Drosophila melanogaster: one gene and its partners. The protein of the gene in region 2 interacts with the protein of the main gene of each other region in a pairwise test. Each region holds a gene or a part of one and is shown on either strand. Other genes may lie near its edges.

What was found.
Region 1: the proteins of CG4496 (region 2) and CG8765 interact in a two-hybrid assay, tested with the Drosophila melanogaster proteins (one large-scale study listed by BioGRID).
Region 3: the proteins of CG4496 (region 2) and CG13482 interact in a two-hybrid assay, tested with the Drosophila melanogaster proteins (one large-scale study listed by BioGRID).

Annotation. Positions count from the first base shown.
Region 1 is NT_037436.4:19,685,306-19,689,065, reverse strand, and holds the start of CG8765 (uncharacterized protein), read left to right. Parts: upstream 1-1,712; 5' UTR 1,713-1,830; coding exon 1,831-2,071; intron 2,072-2,129; coding exon 2,130-2,271; intron 2,272-2,419; coding exon 2,420-3,108; intron 3,109-3,174; coding exon 3,175-3,328; intron 3,329-3,387; coding exon 3,388-3,760. Other genes in the region: Gbeta76C (G protein beta subunit 76C), read right to left, coding at 1-7, 147-348, 403-848, 1,270-1,338.
Region 2 is NT_033779.5:7,188,171-7,191,930, forward strand, and holds the start of CG4496 (uncharacterized protein), read right to left. Parts: upstream 1,841-3,760; 5' UTR 1,315-1,840; intron 1-1,314. Other genes in the region: CG4497 (uncharacterized protein), read right to left, coding at 3,232-3,760.
Region 3 is NT_037436.4:14,327,302-14,330,459, forward strand, and holds CG13482 (uncharacterized protein), read left to right. Parts: upstream 1-2,044; 5' UTR 2,045-2,135; coding exon 2,136-2,444; 3' UTR 2,445-2,584; downstream 2,585-3,158.

The DNA of each region.
Region 1 (3,760 bases), on a different chromosome or scaffold from region 2:
GATGGTACTGCAACCGATAATGATAATTGGGTGGGTGTAATGAATACATTTGTATTAAATTACAAGTACTAAATAGATTAGCTGCTTATAGTTGTTCTTGGTAATTAATATAAGCTATTATTATTAAAACATATATGTGTACTCACGCAGACGGATGACACGTCCATGTCGTGACCGAAGAACATCTGCTTGTGGCCCTCCTCTCGCACATCCCACAACTTGGCAGTTTTGTCCACAGAGCCAGTGATATAGGTCTTCATATCTGGCGAAAGCGATAAGCCAGCGATATCACCAGCGTGTCCATTGAAATCCATTGTCTTGACACCCTTCTCCAGATCCCAATGGCATCTGTTGGTCATAGGAAACTTAGATTTTACTCCAAAAAGTTAAGCAAAGCCCTACATTTTCATATCTCCCGAGCCGGTGATCAGATGGCCATCGTCGAGGAAGCGACAGGAGCTGAGGAATCCCTCGTAGCCCATCAGCTCTTTGACCATCTTGGCCACTCCGGAGGCATCGCGATTGTTCACATCGTAGACGGTGCACTGGTTGTCCATTCCTCCGCAGGCCACAAAGTTACCCGACGGCGAAAAGGCCACCGTCATTACCCAGGCGGATCTCAAGGGGATGATCTGCACCTTGTTGGCGGTCCAGGTGTCCCAGATGATCAGCTTGCCGTCCAGCGATCCAGTGACGCAGTGCCGCGAGTCCCCGGCAAAATGCACCGAATTCACCTTGTTGATGTGGCCCTTGAGAATCTTCTTGGATGAGAATCGAATCTTGGGCACATCCCCCATGTCGCCGCATTTATCGGCCAACGTGCAATCAGCCTTGCTTTTTTGGTCATCCTGAAAGCAAAATCATAGTAATGAATGACAATTTTTATTACAAGAATTTCCAGAATAAATGTTAGAGACGCATACAGTTTTCGATTAAGTTAAGTCACTTAATTTTTTCAAAATTGGAAATAATGTGTTCGACTATTATCGAGATGAAATATTATGGGAGTAGTTAGCACTGAAGTATGAAATCTGGCAAGATATTTAAAACCCAATCATATTATCATACATATTCCAAAAAGTTATATTAATATTTTTTTGTTAAAATTAAATTAAGGACAACGAATTTCTTTTTAAGCTGGCTATCGGTATTTTTAGAGTATTGTTATTTTATATGGGGAAAACTTTTTTATGTTACTTTTGTTGTTGCTATATTTATTATCTGATATTTTTAATTTACTTCGCTGTACGTTGAGTTTATTTAATTCACCTTAAACTTCTGTATCATGCCATTGATTTCGTCGTAGAGTTTTTGTGTTTCTGGGTCAATTTTCGGCATTATGGAGCATTAATTATATAAGGACGGCTGCAATATTTGCCAGAAGAAAGTTTCTAGTTTTGAACCGCACTGCGTCGCACAATAAACTGAGAGTTAAACAATTTGTTTTGCCTGAATGTTATGATGTTTTCTTTTTTCCTTAGCGGTAATGCAATTAGCTAATTGGATTAGCCGTTAAATACAAATGTATAGAAAGACGATTTTTTGGCGCCAAAATTTTAAAATCGAACATATGAGCGGGCTGCCAACTTATCGAAATGGTGTGCGCCTCTTGCAGCACTGGACTGTTCAGGGTGACCAGGTCGGTGGCCACCAGATGTTCCACTCAATGTAAAAAAGATGCTTGTATAGCCAAGGCGAAACTGGTCCCTCTAATTACACAACTCTCCAGGATCAGCTGTTCGGTCACCTCATTTTTGTTTTCCCTGTTTTTATTTATAACAATTGCCCATATTAACACACCGCCAGCATGGACACCAAGTAGGGAGCGCCATGGAGACGCTGCCATGTGCCAACCAGCTGCAGGAGCACCAGCAGCCGCAGCAGCAGCACGTGAATCTCAGCATAGATCCTAGTCTGGGTGAGAATGTGGTCAGCATTCCCAAGGAGCTGATCCTCATTTCGCTGGTCTCCCAGGAGCAGTCGCTATACAATCCCAAGCATCCCCACTACCGCAGCACCAAGATCAAGGACGAGAAATGGCTGGAGATTGGCAGCAATGTGGGTTGGTCCGGTAAGTGAACGTTTAAGTTTCCCCACCAAAAAGTTGGCACTTAATCCCATTTCCACAGACGTCCAGTGCAAGTCCAAGTGGAAGGCCATGAGGGATCAGTACTGCCGGGAGCTGAAGCGCGCCAAGGCCTGCTCAAAAGCAGTGAAGTGGAAGTATTTCAAAGAGCTGGATTTCCTGCGTCCATATGCGCTGGCAAGAAAGTAAGTAGCACGTGGAGCAATTCAAGTTGGCACCGCCATGCTGACTGCCAATGCAGACTATACAGCATATGGAGCTATCTATCACTAGTTCTGTTCTTCAGGCTTCCAAATGATATGTCCGTATTTAATTAAACCCACAATTCTTTAGTTACAGAGGGAGATCTGGTCAGACTTCCAATGGCGCCGTGGGTACGGTGACCCCCTTATCGCTGCCCATGACTACTTCCTTCAGCAGCAACAGCAGTAGCCAGAATCTAAACCTTTCCGGCAGCATTAAAATTGAGGATGCCAGTGCATCCACGCTGCTCGACAGCTGCAGCTTCAGTTCGCCTAGTTCAACTGATAAGAAGCCGGCAGCCACTTTCTTGGCAAGCCATATTGGAGCCGTGCTGCAGCAGCAGCAGCAGCAACAGCAGCATCAGCAACAAATGCACTCGCAGCCGGAAGCGAACTGGAACTATCTGACGGATGCGGGAGGCGGTGCTACTCCATCAATCATAGTGCAGTGTGGAACCGCCAACACAACCACGGTGGTAGACACTCTCTACAACGAAATAGTGGACTGCGTCAATGCCGCCAATCAGTCGAGCTCGGCAGCAACAATCACGTCTAATGTATCCACCACTTCAGCAGCGCACAATCAATCGACGAACGCCGAGGAGGAGGACGACGATCCCATACACACATTTCTCAACATGGAGAGCTACTTCGAAAAGGAACTGATCACGCTGATCCAGCAGGAAGACATGATCTACAACTACGGCAACGAGAACTATCGCAATGCCAAGCTCAAGATGGAGGTGTGGGAGGAAATCGCCAGAAAACTAAAGAAGTCGGGTATGTGGTTGATAAACTTAAACAGCCGAAGGATGAAGATGATTTTTCAAGCATTAACTATTTTAGTGAAACAGTGTCGACTGAAGTGGAAGGCTTTAAGGGACCAATACGCACGCGAACACAAGCGATTGAGGACACTGATGCACATAGATGCCACATCGCGTTGGAAGCACTATAATTCGCTCAGTTTCCTTCAGAAGTACATACAACAAAAGACGCTGTAAGAGAGGTTTTGTTTATTTTAACATAATCATATATTGATAACTTTTTACTCTTCAGGGAAAGCGATTCGCAACTCAGTATGCTGCTACCCAAAAATGACCCGGTGAGGGAACTCGAGGACCATATGACCCAGTCTCACTCACCGCCCACGCAGCAGATCACCCTAGAGTCGTCTTCGTCGAATTCCCAGCTTAACTTGCCCACCCTGCCTCATTTGACGGGACCACACAAGGCTGAGCAACAACAACAACAGCAACAGCAGGAAGAGCAGCACCAACAGCAACAACAGCATCAGCAGCAACAACAGCAACAGCAGGCAAGTGAACTCTGTGTGGCCACCTATGACGACATGGACATCGAGAATTACATCAACGGAGATGTACACCATAATGATGATGATGTGGAAGACGATGAGGATGAGGAGATGGAA
Region 2 (3,760 bases):
AAAAGTCGAGCTTCGAGTTGACGCCGACTGCGCTGCCCGGCTTGTGAATCAGCGAAGCGAGCAGAGCAGCAGCAGCAACAACAACAACAACCATGTGGGCAGCGCTTAAGGCTTTTTTTTTGTGTGCACGAACGTGAGCCTTTAGCCCCCCTTTCCCACCACTGCCCATTGGCGTGTTAACTTGATTTTTCTTGGGGCCACGCAAGAGCGAAACACGAAAAACAAAGAAAATGCCCCACAACAACAACAAGGGCAACAACAAAAACAATGCAATTACAGCCGGAGCAACAGGCGCAGCAGCAACAACAACTCACGATTTTCAAGATTGCTCACAAGAGCAGGGGCGTAGGCAGGACATGAGAAGGGGTGAGGTTACCAGGAGTGAAAGGAATTCCTTACTATATATACTTGTATATAACAACGATCTAATCTTCAATGAAATGCCAAAAAAAAGATAATTTGCTTTTTGTTAAATAGGAACGATAATGTAGGATTAAAAATTTAAAGTATTTATTGTGGTTGGGGCAAATAACCCCCTTCGACGCAAATGCTTACGCCCGTGCAGAGAGGCGAAAAGAGAGCTGGAGAGTGATATCAAGGGGGAGGTGGGCGAGAGAGTGGGCGAGTGGGAGTACGGAAGCATGGCGAGAGCGCGGTGGGAGGGGGTAGAGGAGCAACGAAAAGGGAGCAGCGTGACCAAAGCGTAAAAGGCAACAACAACGGCGTAGCCAGCGCCAACGCCGCTGTCAACGTCAACGTCGACGTCGAAAAAAAATTTATTGACGTCCGAGCAGCAGCGCTAAAGTAAAACCGTGCGCCTTCAACTTTTTTTATTCGCATTTGCTTTTCTTCTTATTTTTAGCTTTTTGTTGTTGGTTTCCTTTTTATGCAAGTATATACATATGTACCTTCGTACATATGTACATATATCTAAGTAATTGACTTTAATTATTGGCCGCTTCTTTGGTTATTTTCCATTTTCAGGGCGATCTTCGGTAAAATGCCCATAAATGCCTGAAAACCCGCGATCGTTTTTTATGGAGTGTTAAAAAATGGCTTGCAGGTGAAAAATTACTAATATTCGCGTTTTGTTTAGTATAAGCCTTTACGATAAGCCATATACGACAAATTTGACTAGTTTTCGATTTTGAAAACGTAAACATGTTTCTCATCCTTCATCCTGTGATTTAAATAATTATTAAATTCAAATAAAATTAAATAAATTTAAAGCATTCAGCAATTAAGAGATAATCTTATACATACATACATATTCTAAATAACTAACCATATTTAAACAGGAAGAGACAAACTCACCTTTATATTTTTTCGCATCCGACTTATATAATCACTTTTGAGTCACTTTTGGCTGCCTAGGATAGCGTGTTTTCTTCTAATTTGTATTCCATTGGCGTGGGTAGTGGGGTTCTGCCCCTGTGATATATGGAGCCAGGTTCCCAGATCCGCTTCGAATGCTTTGGGCTAGGCTCCCGATTGCTTTGGTCTCTCGGTCTCGAAATATTGGCGATCGTGACTGCAGCGCTTAGTTATCTTATTTTGTTGTTTTTTTTTTTTTTTTTTTTTTGCTATAAAACTCGTTTGTATCGGATCCCCTCACACGTCCACAGACACCCACTCGACTTGGTCCGTGTGGAAACGGCCTGGTTTATCGGTCTCGGTCGGTCTCGGTCCCTGGCTTCTATCTTCTGGTCTGCGGGATTGGTTCGTCCGTGTTCAAGGCACGAGCATCTGGCCATGTGCATTGTGTCCTATCTGTGTGGGGAAACCAGTATGTCGCTGTTTGCGAATGGGGATTGGGGATTTGGGGAGCAATGCTCGGCTTCTCATTACCCAGGTGTTCGAACTTTTCGGTGCGTGTGTGTGCATATCGTGTATGTGGATACTTACTCGAGCTTGCAGGTGCTTCATGTGGCTGGCACGATATTACGCTGGGCGACGTTATTCTAGGCATACTCATAAAAGTTGTATATATAATAATATAAATTATACCTGCTTTTAATATTTATAAAGTAATGAATGCTATGGCCGTAGGAATTGTGCATTTTCTATCTGAAATATACTCATTTTGAATAGGCACTTTCTTGCTTTAGGTTTAGTATCTTATGTACATAAAATATGGTCAAGTTCACTGCCCGCGAGATACTTTTTACTTAAGTCGCTATTTATAATCTAGTTAACATATTTATTTAATTATTTATATAGTAGTTAATTGTTTAAGCCAACCAATGAAAACAAACAATTTGATCAATTGAAAAAATGTGTATTTCTTTTTGGATCCTTTTTAAGTATAACTTTTTTTCTTGAAACTATGTAAATTCGCTTACGATAATTAGAATCGGATCGTAAATCTATATAATATATGCGTTACTATATCAGTAAGGTTTTTGTGGGATACGCGCAGATATCCGCGCTAAATTGGATCACATTATAGGCAATATAATGCTGGATATATTATTACACATAAGCATAGAATAAACATATTTGGCAAAATTGGGGTTTTCTTCCTAATATCTAAGGGGTGAGGTGGCGACTAAAAACAAAACTAATGTACGTCGATTATTAACCGAAACATTGGAAATGGGAAAACATTCTATAACACAAAGATCGAGGCAATAAACTCTGGCTATATATAGTATAGTGAACCTTAGGCTAACATATTAAAACCGATTGATTCTAGGGGTGAAGGGAAGTGCGCAGCGTTAAATGATATGCAAGATGGTTTAGAACTTCAGACAAACAACTTAACTATGTACAACAAAGCTACGATCTAAAGTTAAGCAAGTCGGAGGATCTTTTGAAACTCTCAACTTAAGCGTGTGTGTGTAATTGGTTATTTCGGGTCGATTTTCTTAAACAAAAATCAAAGTACCACTAATTTATCTTTTGTCTCTTCCACGAAGATTTGTTTTGAACACTACGGGAAATATACATTTTAAACCATTTTTAATCCTTTACATATTACACCAAAGGTATTCTTAATTCAATTTTCTTTCTAAAAAAATATTGCTTGTGGTTTTTATAACAAAACCTTTGGTTGAGTTTTAGAACTTAAAAATGATCAAGCTATGCAATTTTATTCGAAAATATTTTCTAAAGCATTCAAAACAAATCAGCTAAAGTGCAGCAATGATTAACTTTTGGCTCCTGAGATTATAAGCATTTCTTAGAATTTCCTAAAATCGACCCCTAAACTAAGTTAATCTGTGTATGTTCTTAAAGCTTTTGCGGCACATCTTTGCTGACGGCTCCCGTTCGCTCGTGATTGACCACAAACTTCTTGGCGCCCGACAATCCCTGCTTGTTAATGTAGAAGCTCTTTTGGGCCAGCGGCGAACCACCGCCATCGGAATCAACCACCAGGCGATTCAGGAAAGTGGCAGCCGTCTTGGCACCACTATCGCAGGAGGATGACTCTATGCTAATGGTGGAGCATCCACCGATCGATGAGGTCTCACTTTTGGCATCGTCCATCAGAGTGGCATCATCCACCAGGTCGTTGACCAGCACCTGCGTACTGGACGATGCGGTGGACACTATGGAAGAGGTGCGACTGCGGCAGGAGTGCGTCTCCGATTCGGGTATCGAGATACCCTCGTCGATGCTTTGGCTCTGACTGCCGCCGGAAACGAGGCACATGGCTGCCTCCAGATTGGGACCGCTGCCAACACCTCCGGGCGAGGCGGAAACAGGCGACGGACATCCCGAGCTGCTGCTATTGTTATTTATCCCATTTCCGCTCACC
Region 3 (3,158 bases), on a different chromosome or scaffold from region 2:
GGTGGTAGTGGGGGGAAAAGCGGAGGACAATGCTTAAAGGCATTTCGGACTCGGCCAAAAATCAGACTCAGCATGTGCGCATAAAGCTCAAATAAACTCAAGTTGTTGACAAAGGGGTTAAAGGCCATAATTGTGGCCGTCGGCAGAAGGGGTTAATATGAATGGGGTGGCCTAACGCTTCCCCATGGGGAACCTTCCAAACGTGCCAGACTGAAAGTGGAATTTTCATTGGATGTGTAAACAAAACCAGCGGGGGAAAATGAGCCAGATGATCAAGTCTGAAAAGCTTTCGGTACGGTAGCACTAAAGTGAGTTTTTAAGGGGATATTCTCTGCTTTATGGCCGTGCTAATGTATTTTTTTTTTACAGAATAAAATTAGATTTTATGAATTTGTATGAAGGACATGTTATTTTATTATGATTTGCTTATGATTTATTGCAAATCTCTGAGACTTCCTGAGGTTTCTTGTAAATTACTATTTATTATGAGTTTATAATAAGTTGCCAATAAATTCAATTTATTGTTCCAATTTCATTAATAAACTTCGAAGTTTTTTTCTAAAACTTTCTCAAATATCCTTTTCTTCTTATTTTCCTCCAAGGTTGCCTTATCTACCACCAAAAGATTTCTTTACAAAGCTAATAAAATGTATTACCAAACTTTTGCAGAAGTTCTTTGAAAAGCAACTCCATAAAATCAAATTTATGTATTACCTGCATTGCCCCCTTCTATTTGCTTTCCCCCTACTTTCCAGCTTCTTTTTTACTCATTTCCTATATCGTTTTAGCTCCCTGAACTGCAGGAGGACAAAACCTCTGGTCGCACTTTAAATAAGCATTAAATTGATACAGCATAAAGTTGTTTCCTTCTCTTAGCCCGCTCTGTCTACCCCACTCTTTTGCTCCCAAGACGCACTCCAGACACACTCTAATCGCTTTATAACTTCTAACGCAGTTTATCAGAGTCGTCCGCAGCCCGTGGCCCCTCATCCCTTAATTCCAACACCCCCAAAAGTCATCCTTCCCATGCCATTAAGGCGGCTCAAAGGCAAAAGTTATTGTCACGCACTGAAGTCGCCTTCATGTGGAGTTGTGTGGTGCACTGAGAAAATCATTGGTTTTTAATAACTCGGCTCAAAATTATATTACATCAGTACGCAGGCTCTAGTCTTACAGTAAATATCAAATATTCTATTAATAAGATCAGTTAAAAAAGCTACTTTATTTTAGCAACATTATGAAAAGTTAACATTAGTTTACAGGGAATCCCTAAAATCATGTACCTATTTTGAGAGATATCCTCTTCATGGTAAATAACTCATACTCAATACACTGATAAGATTGTCAAGCTAAAGACGAAAATATTATGCAAGTGTTGATAAGAAGAAATTATATCAAGAGATTGTTTCTTTCTGTGCAATTTTTTTTATTGAAATGGTCGAAAGGGGGTATATAAACACCTCCACCCATGCCAATCTTCATGCAAAAGCTTTCTGGTTATTGCCTTCCTGCTCGCACTTTCTCTGTGCTTGTGTTGGGTGTCTTTAGTGCCTTTTTGGTTTTCCTCGCTTTTCTTCTTTCGTACTGTATTTTCTTATTTTTTGTTTAGGACTACGTCTGGCAAACAAGGCGGAAATTATTGTTGGCGGGGTCTTAAAGTTTTATTTTACCTTTTACATATCTATTTGTCAGCATCCTTTTTTTTGCAATATCAAATTGATGTTTTGTCTGCGAAATACTTTTTGTTTTTTCTTACATCTGCTATTACTATTACTGTCATTACATTCGTTAAGAATGAAAAGAATAAAAGCGCTTAAATGTTATGAATTAGTCCGGTGAGTAATTCCCGATCCATGATTGCACAAAAACATTGCTATCTTTATAGCCCACTTTGAGTATTAGCAATAGAATCGAAGTGAATCCCCAGTGAGTCAGTCGAATACACACCCCCTTCGATAAGATAAAGCAGCACAACAATAATACTATCTGAATTGTCAAGCTGTTCAAGTGGGATGTGTATATAAACTGGTCATATCAGCGGATGGAAAGGCAGTTAGCATTCAACAAGCAACGAGAGCAGTTTTCGAAAGGAATATATCAGTTTGATAAGGATTAAAAAAAGTAAAACATTCAAAATGTCGCCGCCACATCACGAAAATCGCCTGTTTGGAATCCACCTTGGCCTGAATTTGGGTGGAGGTGGACATCATCACCACCACCATCATCCACCGCCTCCGGTGCACCACTATCACCCACCGCCTCCGGTGCACCACCATCACCACCACGGACCTCCAATGCACCACCACGGACCCCCGCCGCACCACCACCACCACTACGGACCTCCGCCACCGCCGCCCCACTACGATCATCATCATCATCACCACGGCAGCCACTTTGACCATCATCATGGTCCTCACCATGGACATCATCATCATCACTGCTAGTACAATGGAATGGAAGGAAGGTCTTAAAAACCACAGCCATCAGGTGGCGAAATAATGAAAGTGTTTATAAGCGAATTTAATTTATTACATAAAGTGTACAAAAAACAAAACCAAAAAAATCATTAAAACCACTTAGACTTATACAAAGACATTTTTGAATGCTAGTTTCCTTGGGGAAAGTAAAAATAAATAAATTAAGAAGTACGATGATAATTCATGTAGAATTTTTTATATATGTATGTACTCGTAATGGATTTCTGCATTCCAAAAATACGTGTACTGCGCACTTAGTTAACAAATGTCCATACGATAAAGTATAAAATAACAACTAATCTTATCTTGATTGACATGACGCAAAGATTTCACCAAAACGTAATTGAACGATTCTCTATACATATAAAGCTGATTTTAAAGCCAAAGGAATCAAGAATAATTTTAAAACTTAATAATTCAAGAAATTCTAATCCAATAAGAAGATTATTGGCAACCACAAACACAAAACAAGACCACCCACGAAAACAAGTTTGTAAGCCGATAAATACAAATGAAATTAAATATAATTTTAGTACGGCTTAGATTCGCTTCGGGTGGGTCAAACAAAATGTTTGCCAATTACAAACCCATTTCGAAACGCTTTTATTTTTCTGCGGTTGTCACAAAACGCTAATTAGACAGCAGCTACCATATAGAGTGGGTCTCTCAATACCCGTATAT